Ovis aries: one gene and its partners. The protein of the gene in region 2 interacts with the protein of the main gene of each other region in a biochemical or structural test. Links are inferred from orthologs where the notes say so. Each region holds a gene or a part of one and is shown on either strand. Other genes may lie near its edges.

Region 1 (6,958 bases), on a different chromosome or scaffold from region 2:
AAAGTTCCTTGATGTGGGTCTGGGCAATTTTTTGGATCTGACACCTAACATACCTAAGCAGCAAATCAAACTGAAAAGCTTCTACCCATTAAAAGAAATGATCAACAAAATGAAAACTACATCCGGAATTGGAAAAAATATCTGCAAACCACATTATCTGATAAGGGGTTAATATCCAAAATGTCAGGAATCCATACAACTTAATAAAACCCTCCACCAAAAAAAAAAAAAAAAAAAAACCTCCTAAATAAACCAGTTTTACAAACAGAAAAGGATCTGAATAGACATTTTCCCAAAGGTACAGAAATGGCCAACAGGGACACAAAAAGATGATCAATATCCAGACTACAGTGAAATATCACCTCAGGCCTATAAGAAAGACTATCTTCAAAAAGACAAGATGGGGCTTCTCTGGAGGCTCAGTGGTAAGAATCCGCCTGTCAATGCAGGAGACATGGGTGCGATCCCCAATCCGGGAAGATCTCACGTGCCTTGGAGCAACTAAGTCTGTGTGCCGCAACTACTGAGCCTGTGCTCTAGAGCCTGGGAGCTGCAACTACTGAGCCCACATGCTGCACCTGTTGAAGCCCGAGTGCCCTGGAGCCCGTTCTCTGCAACGAGAAGCCACTACGATGAGAAGTCCACGCACCACAACTGTAGAATAGCCCCTGCTCACCGCAACTAGAAAAGTCTGAGCAGCACCGAAGACCCAGCACAGCCAAACAAGGAAAAAAAAAAACCAACAAATTATAAAATGAATCACTTAAAAAAAAAAAAAAGACAAGAGCAATTCCCTGGTGGCCCACTGTTAGGATTCCACACTTTTACTGCTGAGGGCCTGAGTTCAATCCCTGGCAAGGAAACTAAGATCCCCCAAGCCCATGGAGTGGCCAAAAAAAAACAAAAGACAAGAAACAAGTGTTGATAAGGATGTGAAGACAAGGGAACACCTGTACAGTACTGGTGGGGCTGTAGAGTGGGATGGCTGCTATGGAAAACAGTATGGACGTACCTTAAAAAGTTGAACCCAAAACATATGATCTAGCAATACCACTTCTGGAAACATATTCTAAGAAAACGAAAACACTATGTCAAGAAATATCTGCACTCACATTACAGCAGCATTATTTATAATAGCCACAACATGGAAAAAAGTGTTCACTGACAGATGAATGGATGAGGAAGCTGGAATACACATTCACACAATGGATTATTATTTAGCCATACAAAAAGAAGGAAATCCTGCTATTTGCAGTAACATGGATGGACCTTGAGGGCATTATGCTAAGTGAAATTGAAGTAAGTCGGACCGAGAAAGACAAATAAGTATATGACATCACTTGTACGGGGAATGAAAAAACTGAAAACACACAGTGCTAACCACTACCACAACCACCAAAACAAAAACCAAACTCACAGAAAAGGAGATCAGATTTGTGGGGTTACCAGAGGTAAGCAATGGAGAAGGGGGGCCAGATGAACGTGATCAAAATGTACAACTTCCAGTGATGAGACAAGTACCAGGGATGTAATGTACAACATGATGACTATAGTTAGGTCGGATGTATGGTGTATATGAAAGTAGTTGAGAATAAATCTTGAGTTCTCATCACAGAGAAATAAAAAGAAATAAAATACTAAGTGACAACGAAAAACACTATAATCAAAGTTGTGAGACAAACCTAAAGTAGCCTAAATAGGTCAGGACACAAACCTAAAGTAGTCCTAAATAGGTCAGGACACAAGAAAAATGAAAACAAACAAAACAAAAAACCCAACCAAGGGAAAAAAGTTATGGCCCTACGCCAGGACCCAACAGCAAGTGGGGAGCTTAGACTTCCACCCTTGCCCAGCTGTAATTAAGTGCCCCAATCTCAACCTCACTGGGATGGTGTTGGTGGAGGTCTAGAAGGGAGCTTGAACTTCCTTTCCCACTCCTGCCCAGCAGCCATGAGGTCTGACCTACCTAAGTAGCACATTAAGGGAGACTGAACTTCCGTCCCCCTTTCCCTGCAGTATCGGAATACTACTAAAACAGCAGTTACATAGCCTCATAACATCCAAAGTACACAGATACAACTGAAAAAAAATCTCTTCTCATATGAAGAACCAGGAAAAATCTCAACCTGAATAGGAAAAGACAATCAACAGAAAGCCACACCAGACGCAGATGCTGGAACTACCTGACTAGGATTTTAAAGTAGCCATCATAAAAATGCTTTAACAGGCAATTCTGAACAAGACTGAAACAAACGAAAAATAAAAACAGCCAGTCTCAGCAAAGAAAAACAAACAAACGTGCATTTTAGAACTGACAGATACAACATCCTTGAGCGAAAAAGAAGCTGCAGAACTAACCTCTTGGGGCTTCTGTGGACTAGCTGCCTCTTCCGGACTGGCCCCAGCCACGCTTTTCCTCCGCTTCCTGCTTCCACCTGGGGACTCCTCCAGTGATCGGTCTGGTCTTTTCAACATTGACCGGATGGTAGAGCTGCAGGACTCCGAAGGGGAGTCAAACAGCTTGCAGCGATTGCCCTTTGGGGAAAAAAAAAAAAGAGACTCATGTTTCATTAAAATACACTGATTCGAATGGTAAAGAGGACAGACCAAGGACTTCCTGGGATGGTTTAAGATCAAGCCATTCCAAAGTGGGCTTCCCAGGTGGTGCTAGTGGTAAAGAACCTGCCTGCCAGTGCAGGAGACAAAAGAAACTGGGGTTCGATCTCTGGGTCAGGAAGATCTCTGGGGGAGAGCATGGCAACACACTCCATCCAGTATTCTTGCCTGGAGAATCTCATGGACAGCGGAACCTGGTAGCCTACAGTCCACAGGGTCGCAGAGTTGGACACGACCAAAGGGACTTAGCACAGATCCTAAATTAAGAAACAGACACTGTCCGTTTATCCAGTCCTTGGCACACAGTAGACACTGAGACCTTGGTGTTCACTGAACATGTTCAAAACCTGACTGGATACAAATGAGGAAGACTACCCAGGCCCTGAAAAGCCTACATTCTGCACAGGGTCCTAAGAGTCAAAGGGTGCCTGATATACTTCCCAGCAAGTGTTACCTTCCAGCCAGGGCCACAATTCTGGCTTCCTCTTCCCCTCTACTTTATTATTTGCACCTTGCTCGAGCAGCTTGAAGAGGTTTTAACAGCCCCCTAAATCCAGAAGGTATGAGGCATCTGGATTATACTATATATTAGAGCCAGTTAAGCAGATAAAACAGAGTTGAGTTTGAGTTTGCAGTGGGCAGGGGTGCCTTCAAAACTGTTTAGAAGCCATGCTCTCTGCTTGGCTGTTTTTCTTTCTGGACTGTAGCAGAGCATTTTAAATTCAAGACTTACAAAGCCAAAGGAAATACAGGAAGATGTGCTATAATACTCCTAAGGACTACTTTCTCGGGGTTTGAGAGCAGCCACCCTGACTAGTGGTAGAGACAGTCTGACTTCAGCAACCTAAACTCATCTCACCTCGTTCACAACTCAGTGCTCTCTGGCTGGGCTTTTCCTTCTGAACTCGGTATCCTTTCACACACACCCCGCACCCCTCTCCTCCGTAAAGCACTCCCTTTCAAGCTGATACTAACATTTCAGTGTCGCCTCTTCTTTGGAAAAGTTCCTAATAGTTTGCAGCAAGTGTGTCACCCCCATTGCCTCTCCCAGAGACCAAGGGTTTTCCGCTTATTTTTCTGAAGTTCCTTTTAATAGGATGTTGCTCAGAGAAGCAAGATCATGGGGGTTATTTTTCATATGTTTGTTTTTAACCTAGAAGAGCTGGAAGCATTTTTGGAAAGAGGGTCTACAGCTTTCAGTAAGGTCTCAGAGGACCTGTAAGCTCTTCAAGGGCAGAAACCCCAGTTCTGACTCAGCCCCTGGCCCTTATGATGAGTCTACTGTGTTTGTGAAACTCTACCATTGTGAAGGGCCTACACATACTGTTTCATGGTTTTTCCATCCAACTTATAAAACTGATAGCCATTTTCCAAGCATTCTCACACTGTATATATTAATAATGTTTTCTTTCAAAAGGACTTAGTAAATCTGGTCATACCATTTTATTGGGGTGGTCTAATCTCTCAAAGCTTTGCACATTGGTCTACTATAATGTGTAAGTGGCTTCAAGACTAGACTGGTTCATTTGTTCCATATGTATAGTTCAGGGGCATGGATTAAAGATGTATTCAGCGTCTATACATATACCTAAGAGTGTGTAGCTGTATGTATACTATGATAAGAGCTCACTTTCCCTGGATGTTTACATACATGAGGATGTGTCCCTCTACAGGCACAGCTTTTGAAAGTGTCCCTGATGGAAACAGATGTCTCTAGTCTACACAAGTAGGTGGGTATTAAACAAAACAAAACACCCTTGAAAAAACAGCATACATTAACACCAGGAAACACTAGTGGCCAGCCAAACAGGCCCATAGGCTCAAATGCAGAATCTCAAAAGAAATAATTTGGATTCCTGTCACTCCCTCCAGACACACTGGAACTTACTAGGTTGCTAGTTCTTCTCATGACAAGGGGAGCTGTCCAGAGGCTGGCCATGCAGGACGGGGTCTCTTCATCATTCTAAACAAAGAAAAACTGTGTCATAAAGGTCCAAAGGTCCAGTAGAAACAACATTAGTTTAAGTGCGTTAGATTTCTTCTTGCAGAATACCAGAAAGACGTGAACAGGAAGTCTTCTAAGGGTCAATGCCTCCCCTCTCCACAACACTTTAAGGTCAAGAGAGTAAGAGTGATGCTATCTGAACATAGCTAAGGGAATGCCCCTGAGGGGCCACGAGGAGCCACTGGTCTCCTCAGCTTTACATCACATGGCAGCTATTCTTTCAGTCCCTGATTCACGTCCTTCCAGGAAAAAAAAAAGATTGTCAGCTCCTGCAGGGGAAGAAGGATCACATCAGTGTTTTCTTTGGAACACCTCCATAGAATTTAAGCAGACTAGAAGCAGAGTCAATAAATTCCCAACAGATGAATAAAAGCATCGGCCAGGGCTTCCCCTGGTGGTCCAGTGGTTAAGAATCCTCCTTGCAATGCAAGGGACACAGGTTCCACCCCTGGCCTGGGAAGGTTCCACATGCTGAGGAGCAGCTGAGCCTGTGGACAACTACAGAGCCGGTGCCCTGGAGCCCACAAGCTGCAACTGCTGAAGTCCGTGCGCTAGAGCCTGTGCTCCACAACAAGAGAAGCCGCCACCGTGAGAAACCCGTGCACCGCCACGGAAGAGTAGTCCCAGCTCTCTGCAACTAGAGAAAGCCCAGGTACAGCAACGAAGAGCAAATATAGCCAAAAAATGAATTAAGTAAGTAAACAAAACCTTAAAAAGTTATCAGCCAGTTGGGGGATCACTGTTCTTTTTCAGATGACGGCTCTCCAGGGAAAGTTAGCAAAAATGGATCGGAAAGCACATACCCACACCATACCTTCAAACTGTCTCCATCAAGAAGATCCATGAAGCCATCATCCTCATCAGACAAAGTGGGAGTCACAGGTGACTGGGGCATAAAAGGAATGGAATTCCCTGGTTCATTGCCATCTCTTTCATTTGAGGAAAGCTAGAAGACAGAATTCATGGCTTGTTAATAATCAGCTTTGATTTCTCTGAATGGGTTACTAGTTTTTATGAAGAAAATATACCATTTTCGTTTTAAGAAGTTTTAGCAGCTACAAATCAAAGGAAAAATAAGACCTAAGATTATAAACGAACTGATATCCACACACAGTTCTGATTCGAGTCAGGCCAAGTAGCCTTCATAAAGAACTCTCCCCAGGAGCAATTCACCTTATAGTGGGATCTGGGGCTAGCCTCCAATGAAGGGCAAGGCTTGTTTTTTCTGAGGATTATTAATGGTGAACAGGGATCGCATGAGGGTAGTGACAGGTGATAATCTGCTAAAGTTTGGAAGGGTGAGAAGATACCAAGTCCCTATGGAGACCACAAAACAGACTAGAGAAATGTTTCTGTAACTCCAGTTCTGACAGAGGGATATAAAGTCTAGAAGTTCTAGAAAATCCATCCTTGTTCTTTAGATTCGCAATTTAAATGACAGTTGCTCAGTTCTAACTGAGGAATTACTTGGGCCAGACACTGGGTGTGCTGGTGTGTACTTATTTGCTAAGTCGTGTCCGACTCTCGCGACCCCATAGACTGTAGCCTGCCAGGCTCCTTTGTCCATGGGATTCTCCAGGCAAGAATACTGGAGTGAGTTGCCATTTCCTTCTCCAGGGGATCTTCCTGACCCAGGAATTGAACCCAGGTCTCCTGCATTGCAGGCAGACTCTTTACTGACTAAGCTATGAAGGAAGCCCTGTTTTCAGACTGGGATATAACCTTTTATGTATAATCCCATTTAAGCCTCACAACACACTAAAGGTAGTTAATCCTCTATTTTCCATTTTTATTTAACAAATCAGGAAACCAATCCTTAAGAAAGGTTACCAAGATTACACCGCTCACTTGTTTGACGGCAAAGTCCAAGCTTTTCTGCCCATTATACTCTCCCTAGGAGAAACCATTCCTGGAGTCAAAATAAGAGTATATCTCATTAGGCAAGCCTATCTTGTTTTTTCAGTAAAACTCCCATTATAAAATGAGTTACAGGGCCTCCCTGGTGTTTCAGTGGTAAAGAATTCACCTGCCAATGCAGGAGACACAGGTTCGATCCCTGATCCGGGAAGATCCCACATGCCTGGGAGCAACTCAGCCCATGTGCCACAGCTAGTGAGCCTGTGCTTTAGAGCCCGGGAACTGCGACTACTGAGCCCACATGCCAATCACTGAAGCCCGTGTGACTGACAGATACGATCTTCTCTGTCTACAAGAAGAGACGCCACCGCAATGACAAGCCCGCACACTGCCATGAAGAACAGCCCCTGCTCTCCGAAACTAGAGAAAAGCCTGGCCAGCAGCAAATACCCAGCACAGTCAAAAATAAATACAGGAAAT
Region 2 (7,709 bases):
TCAGGCATGCCTATGTCTGGCTCTATAAGAATTGTGAAAGTTAGTTTATCAGGTAAATATAGTCAGGCATCAACCACATAGTTTCCTAATTCTAAAGTTTAACATCTATGATCGCACTTTTGCAAAGAGAATCTAATGCTTACAATGAAATTATTCTGGAGTCCACTAATACATATATTGCTAACAACTCACATTTCCCCAACTGTTAAGTGGCAAAAATAAATTAACATCACAGGAAAATTAGAGAATAACAAAATATAACCCAAATCAAGAATGCAAGATATACCTTGAAAGCCCCGACTTATACTACTTATGATTTATATCCTTCAAATTCACCCCTGATTTCTTCTAAATGCTATGCCAATATTTTTTTCTACTCCTGAAATGTAATTGTCAAAGTGGAAGCCTAGCAAATCTAAGCCGATTTCCTAAATATACAAGAAATTTAAATTTCATATAATTTCTCACACCACAAAGCCATGCATGTCTATGAATTGATTTCTTTTATACTCAATTCTTTTCTGAGATACATCTTTTTGGAGATTCTAATAATCACTTTTCAACTATTAATACATCTAAATAATAAATTTAAGTCCACAGAATATTTTATGTAATTCTCAGTATTCTTTAATATCAAGACTTTTAATCTTAAGTAGCAAAACAAAAAATAGAGAAGGCAATGGCACCCCACTCCAGTACTCTTGCCTGGAAAATCCTATGGATGGAAGAGCCTGGTAGGCTGTAGTCCATGGGGTCGCTAAGAGTCGGACACGACTGAGCGACTTCACTTTCATGCATTGGAGAAGGAAATGGCAACCCACTCCAGTGTTTTTGCCTGGAGAATCCCAGGGACAGGGGGAGCCTGGTGGGCTGCCGTCTATGGGGTCACACAGAGTTGGACACGACTGAAGTGACTTAGCAGCAGCAGCAAAAATAGTACTTAATATATATATAAATCCTATAAAATTCTCAATTATTTCACTTATATAATAACCTCTTATTTCAGATCTATAAATGAATGCAACAATTTCATGAGACTAGAATGTCTAAAACTGCATAGGCATACAATACATTGCACTTATGATACTTCACGCACCAAGAAACCACAGCTTATCATTCTTAAACTCTACAAAACAGAAATGCCAACCAAAATCACTTATACAACTTGGGGGAAAATTTCTTTGATGATTCTACATATGCATTCAGTGTTGACATAAGTTGCAAAAACAAAAAAATTTACTCGTTTCACTATCGCATAAGCAATTCTGAATGGACAGTGAACAAACAGAAGCCCCAAGATTAAAAGACAAATTTAAAAACTTATTTAGCAGAAGAATTATCTGAAAATTTTTCCATACCTATTCTATCAAAAAGTTCTCCCCCACTGCAGTACTCCAAAAATAGATACTGGATATTGCCTTCTCTTCTGTGACCGTAAAATTTCACTACATTCTCATGATTTAACATTTTATTGATACAGATCTCTTTCTTTATATTTTCTGGACAGTCTATGGCACGTTTCATATCCACAATCTTCACTGCAACTGCTTCTTCTGTTCTTCTATTCACAGCAAGTTGAACTCTAAAAAGAAAAAGGAAGAAATATAATATTCCAGACATTTGACCTGTATTTCTTTTAAAACTTCAAAAGATTAAACATAACTCATCCAAAACTATTTTACCTTTATTACTTTCGCCACTTGGAAGAAACCATGGGAATGGTTTCTGCCATGTCCTCAACAGATAATACTCCTTTCTGAAATGTGAAGTATAATAGCTAATGCTCCAAAGAAGTCATTATGTTGTACATCCAAAAGTAATATATAAACACTTGATAAATTAAAAATGGAATAACAGCAATTCTAGGCCACATCACACATATACATGCTCTATTCATTTAATTTCTCTTCCAATTTTACTGAGATATAAGTGCCATAAAGCACTGAAATGATTATCACAATAAATTTAGTGACAATCTATCATTTTTTACAGATAAAAAATTTTAAAAATAGAAAAAATAACTTTCCTTGTGATGAGAACTCATTATTTACTATTTTAAATTTCATCTATAACATATAGCAGTGTTGATATTAAGAATGCTGTACATTACATCTCTAGAACTTATTTATCTTATAACTGGAAGTTTGTAGCTTTTGACCATCTTCACCCAAATCCCCCTCCCCCTACACCCTGCTCTGATAACCACAAATCTCATCTCTTTTTCTGTGAGTCTGTTTGTCTTTGAAGTATAATTGGCTTACAATGCTGGATTAGTTCCTGTTACCAAATAGTGATTTGATATTTCTTTACATTTCAAAATGATCACCACTCTATGTCTAGTTAGGATATGCTACCATACAAAGATATTACATAATTACTGACTATACTCTCCAACTGTACATTTCATACTGAAGACTTATTTTGCAACTGTATGCTTGTACAAGTAGTTCTCTCCTCCCACCACCCTCCCCTCTGGCAACCACCTGTTTGTTTTAACTCTGTTTCTCTTTTGTTACTTTTGTTCATTTGTTTTGTTTCACCTAGTAAGTGAAACCATACAGTATTTGTCTTTCTCTGCCTGACCTATTTAAACTTGGCATAATACGCTCCAGGTCCATGTTGTCGCAAATGTCAAGATTTCATTCTTGCTCTAGTCATTTAATTTTAGTAACATTACCTAACATTTATTAATTTGATACTATACATGTCTATGGTAAATGTTCTAAGTACCTACAGGATATGTACTATTATTGCCATTTTACAGCTGAAGCAACAGGCACACAAGGATTTTAGGAAGCTCACCTAGGGACTTCCTTGGTGGTCCCCTGGTTAAGACCCCACCCCATGTTTCTACTGCTTGGGGCACAGGTTCAATCTCTGGTCCGCCTCCTGCAAGCAGGATGGAACGGCCATGGAACGGCCAAAAAAGAAAAAGCTTGCCTAAGCTTCACAAAACAAAGGTCAGTAATGTGGCTCCAGAGTCTGAATGTTCATTTGCTCATTTAACCACTATGTTTAAACCCCAGGAAAGACTATATGGGAGGAAAAACCGATTTCAGAAATCTCTAAATTTTAGGGAAAAAATGCTTTGCTTTGCTCTGTTTTGCACCCCGCCCCCCCCCCCAAAAAAAGAAGAAAAAACAAACCGTTAACTCTTACAAAAGATTGTGTACCTTCAGTCTCACAAAGTTTTGGAATTTGCATGCAAAGATCTGTTCTTTGGGGCGACACAGTGTTGAACAATTCCTGGACAATGAATATGTACTCAAAGGAGACAGAAAACCAAAGCAAGTGTAAAGGCGGGTAAAACGGACTCAGACTCACTCTCCATAGGCACCTTCTCCCAGGGTTTGCACCAAGTCCCAGTCTTCCACAAAGGGCACTGCCATGACTCCACTCAGTCCCGCGGCTGTAAGGGCAGGAACCCAGAAAAGACGGTTGGTGAGGACGAGCTTCAATCATTTCTAAAGCCTCTGAGCTCCGCCTCTTGCCGTGATTCCCCCGAGATAAATCACTGCTCCTGGTTTCACATCATCCGTATTTTATCCAAGTCTTTTAAAGCATGAGCAAGTATCCTGAACTGCGGCATTTGATTGATAACTCACAAGCCCCACTGCCACGCAAACCCAAAGCTAAAACCCCGCTTTCCAGGAGGCAGAGGAAATGTACCAGCAACGCTGAGGAGCTGGTGACCAGTGCTGTACGGCGGGGACTGGTGAAGGGGGCGAGAAGTGAAGTCTCGGGTTAGAGTAAGGGGGTGAGGGCTAGTGGAGGAGGAAATAACCGCGGGGACCGCAGCCACTCCTCCCCACCCACTCACTCCCAATTCCCACCCCCACCCCGTCCCCAAGGCCAGGAGGAGCCCGGGGCGGGGCCAAACTGCCCCAAGAAGCGGAAGGGCTGGGTGGCACGCGGACCGCCGGGCCCCAAACCTTGGGGGCTCCCAGCCAGCAGAGGCGGCTTCTCTCCAGTCCCTGTACAACGGGGACCCCCGCCACCATACTCCTCCACCCTCCGAAACCACCCCTCCGAGGGAGCCTCTCCGATCCTTTGGGATCGGAACCGAGAACGTTCTGTCACCGTGCCCCTCCTAAATCATGTAGTCCCGGAACTCCAGCTCCAGGAGCCTTTCCCACTCTACCGGCCGCCCTTCCTCACCAGGCCGTCCTTTGCCCGCCACCACAGGAATCCAAATGCAGGGCTTTTCCCGCCAAAAGTTGCTGGCGTCACATTGTCGCAAACGCGCGCTCCCTTGCCGTAAAGCAGAGAGGTGCGCGTTCCCGGCCCGGCGGATCTGCAGATTGGCAGCGCCTGGGGCCAGGGCTGGTCCTCCATGCCGGCGGAGACCAGGGTTACTTTGGAATCGGGACGAGATCCGGGCGGAAGAGGTTTTGGGAGGTTTTGGAACTGCGGACTGCATCGGTTGCGAATGACCTCCGGGCCCAAACGCGAAGTGGGACTCCGCCCTCCGGCCTCGCGCTCCCGGGGAGAGCGGCACCGCGGAGCTCGCTGCCCGCCACCGAAGCCCCGAGCACCTTGCCCCGTGGCCTGGCAGGGTAACCAGGATCACACGCCATAAGAGCTGCTTCAGTGACTATAAAGCTCGGCCCAGGTAAAACTGGAGCCTAGAAGCTGGGAACAGCTGTTGAGAATTGATCCTGTTTAGAATGAAAGGAACTTTGTGATGTGAGCGAGATGCATCAAACACTGGCCACACAGCAGTGGTTGGGAAGGCATCCGGGTGAAGAAAGCTATTCTTTTGTGGCTTGAGATGTCAGGAAAACCAATTCTGCCCTGTCTTGTCCGAACAGGCACCAAAACAATACCTCCAACTCAGCCTTTTTGAAGGAAGTGCAACTGCATGGCTTAGTTCTACCCACTGTCTTTAATGTGTAAGAAACAGGCAAAACAGCGTTTTGTATAAGCAAAAACGCTGCGTTTTTACAATGCATAGTTTAAAAGCAGAATAACCAGTTTAGGTGGGAAAGTAAATTCTGGGAAAGAGATTGGCTAGAGAACAAAACAGTGTGGAAAAACTGAAACAGATACTCCCTCTCGACAGTAAAGACTAGGAACTCAAGGAGCAAGTAAGGGTATCTTCAAATTCTCCAGTTCTTAAAACTGGGCCGCATACATTTAACATAATTAGCTCTTGATTGTGATACTGGTAAAACAAGTGTACAAAAATGCACACACTGGATTTAAAGTGAGGGACAAAAAACAAGTCAGAACACAGAAATTCAACCACACTTGAGGTTTCATGTAAGCTTTCCAGATTGTTTACTCCACTTTCTCTAGTTTCTGCACGGCCTGTTGCAAATAAAGAATATGAAGCGAAGTGTCTGGATACAGTAAAGGTATCTTACCCTGAAAAAAAAATGAGGTATACACATTTCAGGCAGAGTATCAGCTAAAGACAGCATATGGGGGAATAGATACAAAAAGCTCTGTTCCTTTTTGAAACCTTACTAAAACAGTAAATATTAAAATATTCCATTAATTTAGCTTAATATTTACTATTAAAATTTAGTATTTTAGTAAGGTTTCAGAATGGAATAAAGTTTACTATTTTAAAGGAGACTTTTTAAAGGCAATAACCTACAAATATAGATGAAAAAACAATAACATAGATGAAAGAAGATAAATTCCATCTTAGAATTGCCCAGAGATTCAAGTTCAATTAGTTATATGACAACATGTAACTGAATGGGGTTTTACAGGTGGCCCTAGTTGTAAAGAATCTACCTGCCAGTGCAGGAAACAACAAAACACAGGCTCAGTCCCTGACTTGGGAAAATCCCCTGGAGTAGGAAGTGGCAATCCACTCCACAACTGAGCACACACATACATGTAACTGAATGAGGCAAAAGTGAAGTTAAGTTGTTCAGTCTTGTCCGAATCTTGGTGACCCCATGGACTGTAGCCCACCAGGCTCCTCCATCCATGGAATTTTCTAGACAAAGAGTACTGGAGTGGATGCCATTTTCTTCTCCAGGGGATCTTCCCAATCCAGAGATCAAACCCAGGTCTCCAGCATTGCAGGTAGACACTTGATCCTCTGAGCCGCCAGGGAATCCCTGGTGGTAAATGAGGCAAGAAGTGAAGTGAAGTCGCTCAGTTGTGTCCGACTCTTTGCGACCCCATGGACTGGAGCATACTGGGCTTCTCCGTCCATGGGACTCTCCAGGCAAAAATACTGGAGTGGGTTACCATTTCCTTCTCCAGGGGATCTTCCTGACCCAGGGATCGAACCCGGGTCTGCCGCATTGGAGGTAGACGCTTTTAACCTCCGAGCCACCAGGGAAGTCCTAAATGAGGCAAAGGTGGGGCTAAAAGATGGTGAAGGACTATTTATGAAGCAAACACATCCTTGGTCTCCTCCCTTTCCTCTGTAGGGAAGGAAATGCCTCTCTCTAAAGTAGGTCCTAGACTTGAGAGGGAAAATACATGGTTATCTAAACTGCAAAGGATCAGGCCCAGTTAAGTCTTGGGTACCTAACTGAAAACAAAAGGATTAAGTTTATACACTGCAGGTTATTTTCCAATCCCAAAGAAAGGCAATGCCAAAGAAATGTTCAAACTACCACACAACTGCACTCATCTCACACGCTAGCAAAGTAATGCTCAAAATTCTCCAAGCCAGGCTTCAACAGTACATGAACCGTGAACTTCCAAATGTTCAAGCTGAATTTAGAAAAGGCAGGGGAACCAGAGATCAAATTGCCAACATTCATTGGATCATCAAAAAAGCAAGAGATTTCCAGAAAAACATCTACTTCTGCTTTATTGTCTACGCCAAAGCCTTTGACTGTGTGGATCACAACTGTGGAAAATTCTTCGAGATAGGAATACCAGACCACCTGACCTGCCTCTTGAGAAATCTGTATACAGATCAGGAAGCAACAGTTAGAACTGGACATGGAACAACAGACTGGTTCCAAATTGGAAAAGGAGTACATCAAGGCTGTATATTGTCACCCTGCTTATTTAACTTATATGCAGCGTACATCATGCAAAATACCAGGCTGGATGAAACATAAGCTGGAATCAAGATTGCCAGGAGAAATATCAATAACCTCAGATATATAGAAGACACCACCCTTACAGCAGAAAGTGAAGAACTAAAAAGCCTCTTGATGAAAGTGAAAGAGGAAAGTGAAAAAGCTGGCTTAAAACTCAACATTCAGAAAACAAAGATCATGGCATCTGGTCCCATCACTTCATGGCAAATAAATGGAAAAACAATGCAAACAGTGACAGACTTCATTTTGGGGTGCTCCAAAATCACCACGGATGGTGATTGCAGCCATGAAATTAAAAGATGCTTGCTCTTTGGAAGAAAAGTTATGACCAACCTAGACAGCACATTAAAAAGCAGAGACGTTACTTCGCCAACAAAGGTCCGTCTAGTCAAAGCTACGGTTTTTCCAGTAGTCGTGTATGGATGTGAGAGTTGGACTATAAAGAAAGCTGAGCACCAAAGAATTGTTGTTTTTGAACCGTGGTGTTGGAAAAGACTCTTGAGAGTCCCTTAAACAGCAAGGAGATCCAACCAGTTCATCCTAAAGGAAATCAACTCCTTGGAAGAAAAGTTATGACCAACCTAGATAGCATATTCAAAAGCACAGAGACATTACTTTGCTGAAAAAAAAAAAAAAAAAGAAAAAAAAACTAAAGGAAATCAGTCCTGAATATTCATTGGAAGAACT
Region 3 (6,958 bases), on a different chromosome or scaffold from region 2:
CAAGAGGAAATGCATAAGAGAATAAAACTTTTTTTAAAAGGCAAGTTGAAATAATTAGGTGGTCAATTCAAAGACCCTGAAAACATCACATCTGATATTTTATCTACCATTACCTATAATGTACATATATATTTTATATTAGTTGTTATAAACTTGATTGCTTCTTCAACTCTGTCTCCAGCATATGATGGACAAATTTAGCAGCATTTGTAGGAATCATGAAGTATTTTAAAGGTTTGGACTCAGTGATATCCCTCTGACATATACCTACTAGGTGAATATCAACATTTTGTACTTTTGGATAATGGAAACTTGTAGAACATCCTCCTTTATTAGAGAATGTATCATTATACCAAGCCCTGGGAGCTCACATGGTATGATTTTTTAAATATTGCTTAACAGTATGGACCCTGAAAACTAAGATCATGGCATCCAGTCCCATCACTTCATAGCAAATAGATGGGAAAACAGGAGAAACAGTGTCTGTCTTTGTGTTTTGGGGCTCCAAAATCACTGCAAATGGTTTTGGCAGCTATGAAATTAAAAGACCCTGCTCCTTGGAAGAAAAGCTATGACAAACTTAGCATATTAAAAAGCAGAGACTTTACTTTGCCAACAAAGGTCCATCTAGTCAAAGCTATGGATTTTCCAGTAGTCATGTATGGATGTGAGAGTTGGACTGTAAAGAAAGCTGAGGGCCGAAGAATTGATCCTTTTGAACTGTGGTGTTGGAGAAGACTCTTGAGAGTCCCTTGGACTGCAAGGAGATCTATCCAGTCCATCCTAAAGGAGATCAATCCTGAGTGTTCATTGGAGGGACTGATGTTGAAGCTGAAACTCCAATCCTTTGGCCACCTGATGTGAAGAGTTGACTCATTGGAAAAGACCCTGATACTGGGAAAGATTGAAGGCAGGAGGAGAAGGGAATGACAGAGGATGAGATAGTTGAATGGCATCACCGACTCAATGGATAGGATGTTGAGTAAACTCCAGGAGTTGGTGATGGACAGGGAGGCCTGGCGTGCTGCAGTCCATAGGGTCGCAAAGAGTTGGACACAGCTAAGCAACTGAACTGAACTGATGGACCCTGAAGTTACCTACCCTCTTTGTACTTCAGTTGTAGTTTTCTAATTAAGGATAATAATTGTTCTTATTTCATAGGATTCTTGTGAGGATTAACTGAATTATTATATATTATTTTATATAGTAATAATGCCAATCATATAAAAGTACTCAATATATGTGAGTTGTTTCAATAATAGTAATAATAGTACTAGTAGTAGAGAATGATTATTTTATAAAGGTAAATATTTGGAATTATTAAAATAGTTGTAAGTTGAAAGCAAATGATGAAAGACATTTTTAACCTGTTTTTTTCCTACATGGAAGATATTTTTGTACAGTCATGATAATGAATTACATTTTAAGACTTTGCTTTCCTTTACAGAATGATCCCAACTTAAAACTTATATACACAGAATGTCTAAGAGTTTGTGGCACTTGGTTAGCAGAAACTTGCTTAGAAAATCCTGCAGTCATCATGCAGACCTATCTAGAAAAGGTAAGGTTTTTGAGGAACCCTAATAGAATCGCTTAGCATAAATACATTTGATCTTTTCATAGAAGTGAAATGAAGTGAAAGTTGCTCAGTGGTGTCCAAGTCTTAACAACTCCATGGATTGTAGCCTGCTAGGCTCCTGTGTCCGTGGGATTCTCCAGGCAAGAATACTGGAGTGGGTTGCCATGCCCTCCTCCACGGGATCTTCTCAACCCAGTGCTTCTACCACCTTTGAGCTTCCTGTTTCTCCCTCTTATTCATATAGTTTAATTTTTAAAATAGCTACTTTACTAATAAATGAACATGAAAAGCCTAATATGTTTTTTTAGTTTTATAGAGCTTTATGTTTTTGTACCATTCTTTACACATATTAGCTATTTGTTGTTTCTGCTCTGTCAAAATTGTTTTGAAAACTCAAAGTACTGTATTTTGTATAATTTAGCTTATATACATATATATATGTTAAATTTTACTGTGGATATTTCTTTGATCTGAGTAATTCTTTAGATGCATTTAGTATCTGTAAATATAAATGGATTGTTTTTTTCTTGAAGGCTGTGGAAGTTGCTGAAAATTATGATGGAGAAAGCAATGATGGCCTGAGAAATGGAAAAATGAAGGCATTTCTCTCATTAGCACGGTTCTCAGATACTCAATACCAAAGAATTGAAAACTACATGAAATCCTCAGAATTTGAAAATAAGCAAGCTCTTCTGAAAAGAGCCAAGGAGGAAGTTGGCCTACTTAGGGAACATAAAATCCAGACCAACAGGTAACTGAGGGTCTACAAGTAACAAGATATACAGTATTTATACAGGTATACAGAACCAGATAGGAATTCATGCTGTGGCTCTATACTAATTGTGAAATATACTGGTGTTAACTTTTTGTTTTGCTTTTTTAGTTTGTTTGTTGGTATCATAGTTGAAAAAGAGATATGTGTTGAAATTAGAGAGGAGTTACTTAGTTTGATGTAATTAAATACTTTTTTCAAACCTGCTTTTATATATATTTTAGTGTAAGTAGAAAATAAAGTTAATGAAATACCTTGCATAGAGTCTACTTTGGTTGCCTAAAATAGCTTTTGAATTGCAGAAACTTAAAGACAAAAGTAAGTTTATTCTCTTTATAATTCTTAGAATGTTGCTTTTTCTCCAAAGATGGACACCTGATTTTTCATTTATATTTTATATCTTATTTGATTTTGTAGTTCTATAAAATTTAACAGCTTTTGTGTTTTATTTTAATTATCCAATGTAAGATACACAGTAAAGGTTCAGCGAGAGCTAGAGTTGGATGAATGTGCACTCCGTGCATTGAAAGAGGATCGTAAACGTTTCTTATGTAAAGCAGTTGAAAATTACATCAATTGCTTATTAAGTGGTGAAGGGCATGATATGTGGATATTTCGTCTTTGTTCTCTCTGGCTTGAAAATTCTGGAGTTTCTGAAGTCAATGGCATGATGAAGGCAAGTTTTCTTTTTCACCCCAGTATTCTAGCCTGTGCTTTAAAAGTTAAGCCATTAGCCCCTCAAATGTCATGCATTTTGTATACTTTGTATCCTTGGCAGTTGGTTTAGGGCACTGCACATAGGTACTTAACTAACTCTAATGATATAGGTTTATGTGGATATGAGAGAATTTAGGTCAGTCTTTTCCTGTAGCATTTAAATTACCATTGGAAAGTACCCAGAATGCTAGACTGGGAAATTTGGAAAGCAATTAAAAGATGATGTGATCACAGGTGGTGTTTTTTTAACCCCTGCTCTATTATTTTCTCTTTGTTTTTTTTTTTTTTTTACAATAAATTATTTTTTAAATGGAAAAAAACCATTTTAAGAAAACATTAAGGCAGTAGAATTTTATAAATTTTTATTTAAAAATCTTGGGTTTTATTGACATCTAAAGTTATATTTCAATCAGTTTGAAGCTTAAAATAGTTCTTCTGGCTGAAGAGAATACTCATAAGAGATACAACAAATTTCTGCTACTAGTGTACATTAAATCCTGTTACTTTTAGAATGGAGGGGAAAATAGTTATTCCATTTTATTCACACTGACTTCTCAGGAGTCAAGATTACAATAGTCCTTAGATCAATGTTTGTCCTCCTTGGATTCATTGGAATATAAGCAGTACCAAGTATTCCACTTTTGAATGCAATCTGGTACAGGTTCAAACATGATTTACCAGTGAGTCAATCTAGACTTTAAGATAAATGATAAGGAAAAAATATGTCTGCTTGATGATTGCACTAATAGAGGAGCATTTTGTATTTTTTTAGATATGAGGTCTAGTTGAAATGCATTGCTTTTTAATTTTGTATTTTTTTAATGGCAGAGAGATGGAATGAAGATTCCATCATACAAATTTTTGCCTCTTATGTACCAATTGGCTGCTAGAATGGGGACCAAGATGATGGGAGGTCTAGGATTTCATGAAGTCCTCAATAATGTAAGTAAACATGAAAATCAAACCACAATTGCTTTTCTTTTATATTATTGTATATTACTGTTCCACTCTAGAAAGTGGCTACACAAAAAAGTATCATCAGTCATATTTATTATGTTATATAAGGGCAAGAATATTCTCTTTCGTCTCCTTTCATATGCCACATGTTACTCACTTTCTCTTTGTTTTTCCTCATATACTTCTCTCACCCATACATACCACATCACCACTCCCGCCCCCCACACACAGTCCACCCACTGTAGCATCTAGCACAGTAAAACGTATCTTAATGTTAAGCAAAATTTAAATTTAAAAAGTTATGGATTTTTAATTTTTTTCTTTCCATAAAATTAACAGTTCTTAATTTTCTGACAGCTCATCTCTAGAATTTCAATGGATCATCCTCATCACACTTTGTTTATCATATTGGCCTTAGCAAATGCAAACAAAGATGAATTTTTGACCAAACCAGAGGCAGCCAGAAGGAGTAGAATTACTAAAAATGCACCTAAACAAAGCTCTCAGCTTGATGAGGTATTTGGATTGAACATGCATACCTTTTTTAATTGCGATATTCATTTTTTCTCAAAATATTCCTTTCTTAAGTCTCAGGAATTCAAAGAGTATGTATTGTTACAATATTAAATTTGTAAATCCTTTGTTATTATGATGCTACCTAAAACTGGTTCAAAATTCCTGAATATTTCTCAAAGCATAAGAGATACCAAAGGTATTTTACTGTTTTTCCTCAGCGTAATGAGGAAAGAAAAAATAGATTTTACAAGGCACCCAAGTCATTTACTCTTGAGATTATTATACCTTTGATATGTTTCATTCATAATACAGTGACTGCTTTGTCTCTGAGGAATTATAGTCCTTCCATTGTCTAGATATGTACATAAATTCCATTTTTTTGTTTTTATAACTCTAAAAGTTTTAATGTTGCATATTTGCTTTTGTAATATTTTTTGTTTGTATTTTATTATTAGGATCGAACCGAGGCTGCTAACAAAATAATACGTACTATCCGAAGTAGGAGACCTCAGATGGTCAGAAGTGTTGAGGCACTTTGTGATGCTTATATTATACTAGCAAATTTAGATGCCACTCAGTGGAGGACTCAGAGAAGTATGCAATTTGAAAGAATGAATGTTGCATTCTTGCTATGTTAATCTCTGTTGTTGTTTTTAGGTGCTAAGTCATATCTGACTGTTTTGTGACCCCATGGCCTATAGTCTGCCAGGCTCTTCTGTCCATAAGATTTCCCATTTTCCCAGGCAAGAATACTGGAGTGGGTTGCCATTTCCTTCTCCAGGAGATCTTCGCAACCCAGGGACTGAATCTGAGTCTCCTGCATTGCAGGCAGATTCTTTACTGCTGAGCCACCAGGGAAGCCCACTTATTCTCTATAGGGATATTTTAATTACAGAACAGAATGTAAATCTGCTCAACTCACATTAATTATAGATATGAAAGTTTTGATGATTATAACTCACACGTAATTCAAAACTTTATTTTTATCTAAAAGCCTTCAATACCCCTCCAGTTACTTTTTCGCTTAATATCTTGTTGTGGAACTGATTTTTAACAGATAACTGCATTCTAGGACTTAAAAATGAAAAGACTATCATTTTCTCCATCACTCTTCTTGCTGTGTCTCTTTAAATAATTATAAGCTGCTATAATTTGGTTGTGTGTATCTGTCTCCCCAAACTTTAATAATTATGTTCTTTTTTTCCGTTCAGAATCATGTCTTCATAGTTAAATTCTTACTATTTTAAAATAAAAATGAGGCTTCTCATAGTGTTCCTCTAAGCAAACAAAGAATACTGTCATGTTGTTTAGTCACATTTAATAATAATATGTATAGCATTATCTATGTGCTGTTCATACTATTATATAATTATCTTAAGTTGTCCAACTTGGCACCTCAGGTGGAGTCTGGTCTAATTACCAGTGCCAGGTAACCTGCAAATTCATCTGTAAGCCACATTACTCATTGCTATGCCCTGACCCTGAGCGGCATTATGTCCCAAGTCTTTGGTCTTCATTTCTAAATCAGAACCACAGATTAGCCATAGTTTGGGTTTATGGTATCTGCTGAATTCTCCTGCTTTACCTACAATACTGTTGCTCAATTTGCAGTTGTCACTGAAACTTCTTTATTTTAAATACAGAAGGCATAAATATTCCAGCAGACCAGCCCATTATCAAACTTAAAAATTTAGAAGATGTTGTTGTCCCTACTATGGAAATTAAGGTAATTTGCTATTAACCGTTTTGATTTTTTAATTAAACTAAATTACTTTTTAGCAAGTTAAACCATTTGAAATAGCCTTTTATTGTAGGTCAAAATTGGTTAATTATTGGCAATTTCATTTGTTTCAACCAATAGTTTTTTCTTTATTGGATTCCCTTTGCCCAAGACTTAAAATACTTAAAGATCTCTCCTGCTTTCTTTTCTATTTCCTTCAGTTTTTACAGTTGTCATCTTTCTTATGAAGAAGTCTGTAAGCTGTTATTGGTATTTTCATTGGCCAGAAGAAGGAAATATTTTGTGTGTTTATGTCAATATTAATTTTTAACTGAGCAAGAAAGTTCCTAATTGTTTTATATTGAGTTTTAAAATTCTGTACATGTTAGAATGTATTGACTGCGATGTGTTACAATATTAAATAATACAATATATATTACAGTATTGACTGTAATATACATGACACTTTCAGCTATGTCCTAATGGTTTTTTATTGCTGGAAGTACGATGTGGGCAGGGGTAAATATAATAATAAAGGTTGTTTGGTCACTAAGTCATGTCCATCTCTTTTGTGACCCCAAGGACTGCAGCGCTCCAGGCTCCTCTGTCCTTGAAATTTTCTAGGCAAGAATATTGGACTGGGTTGCCATTTCCTTCTCTAGGGGATCTTCCCAACCCTAGGATCTAACCCACGTCT

The links.
Region 1: of the proteins of CHEK1 (region 2) and CDC25A, one has a biochemical effect on the other in vitro, tested with the Homo sapiens proteins (7 studies listed by BioGRID and IntAct, with this or other methods). The link is inferred for Ovis aries from reciprocal best matches to the Homo sapiens genes CHEK1 and CDC25A.
Region 3: of the proteins of CHEK1 (region 2) and ATM, one has a biochemical effect on the other in vitro, tested with the Homo sapiens proteins (2 studies listed by BioGRID, with this or other methods). The link is inferred for Ovis aries from reciprocal best matches to the Homo sapiens genes CHEK1 and ATM.

What each region holds. Positions count from the first base shown.
Region 1 is NC_056072.1:51,706,881-51,713,838, reverse strand, and holds part of CDC25A (M-phase inducer phosphatase 1), read right to left. Parts: intron 5,568-6,958; coding exon 5,436-5,567; intron 4,580-5,435; coding exon 4,505-4,579; intron 2,536-4,504; coding exon 2,359-2,535; intron 1-2,358. UniProt on the Homo sapiens protein: Tyrosine protein phosphatase which functions as a dosage-dependent inducer of mitotic progression. Directly dephosphorylates CDK1 and stimulates its kinase activity. Also dephosphorylates CDK2 in complex with cyclin-E, in vitro.
Region 2 is NC_056074.1:26,494,858-26,502,566, reverse strand, and holds the start of CHEK1 (serine/threonine-protein kinase Chk1), read right to left. Parts: upstream 4,234-7,709; 5' UTR 3,670-4,233; intron 3,410-3,669; 5' UTR 3,390-3,409; coding exon 3,325-3,389; intron 1,583-3,324; coding exon 1,359-1,582; intron 23-1,358; coding exon 1-22. UniProt on the Homo sapiens protein: Serine/threonine-protein kinase which is required for checkpoint-mediated cell cycle arrest and activation of DNA repair in response to the presence of DNA damage or unreplicated DNA.
Region 3 is NC_056068.1:17,635,103-17,642,060, forward strand, and holds part of ATM (serine-protein kinase ATM), read left to right. Parts: intron 1-1,447; coding exon 1,448-1,561; intron 1,562-2,112; coding exon 2,113-2,330; intron 2,331-2,819; coding exon 2,820-3,027; intron 3,028-3,896; coding exon 3,897-4,010; intron 4,011-4,382; coding exon 4,383-4,541; intron 4,542-4,996; coding exon 4,997-5,135; intron 5,136-6,184; coding exon 6,185-6,267; intron 6,268-6,958.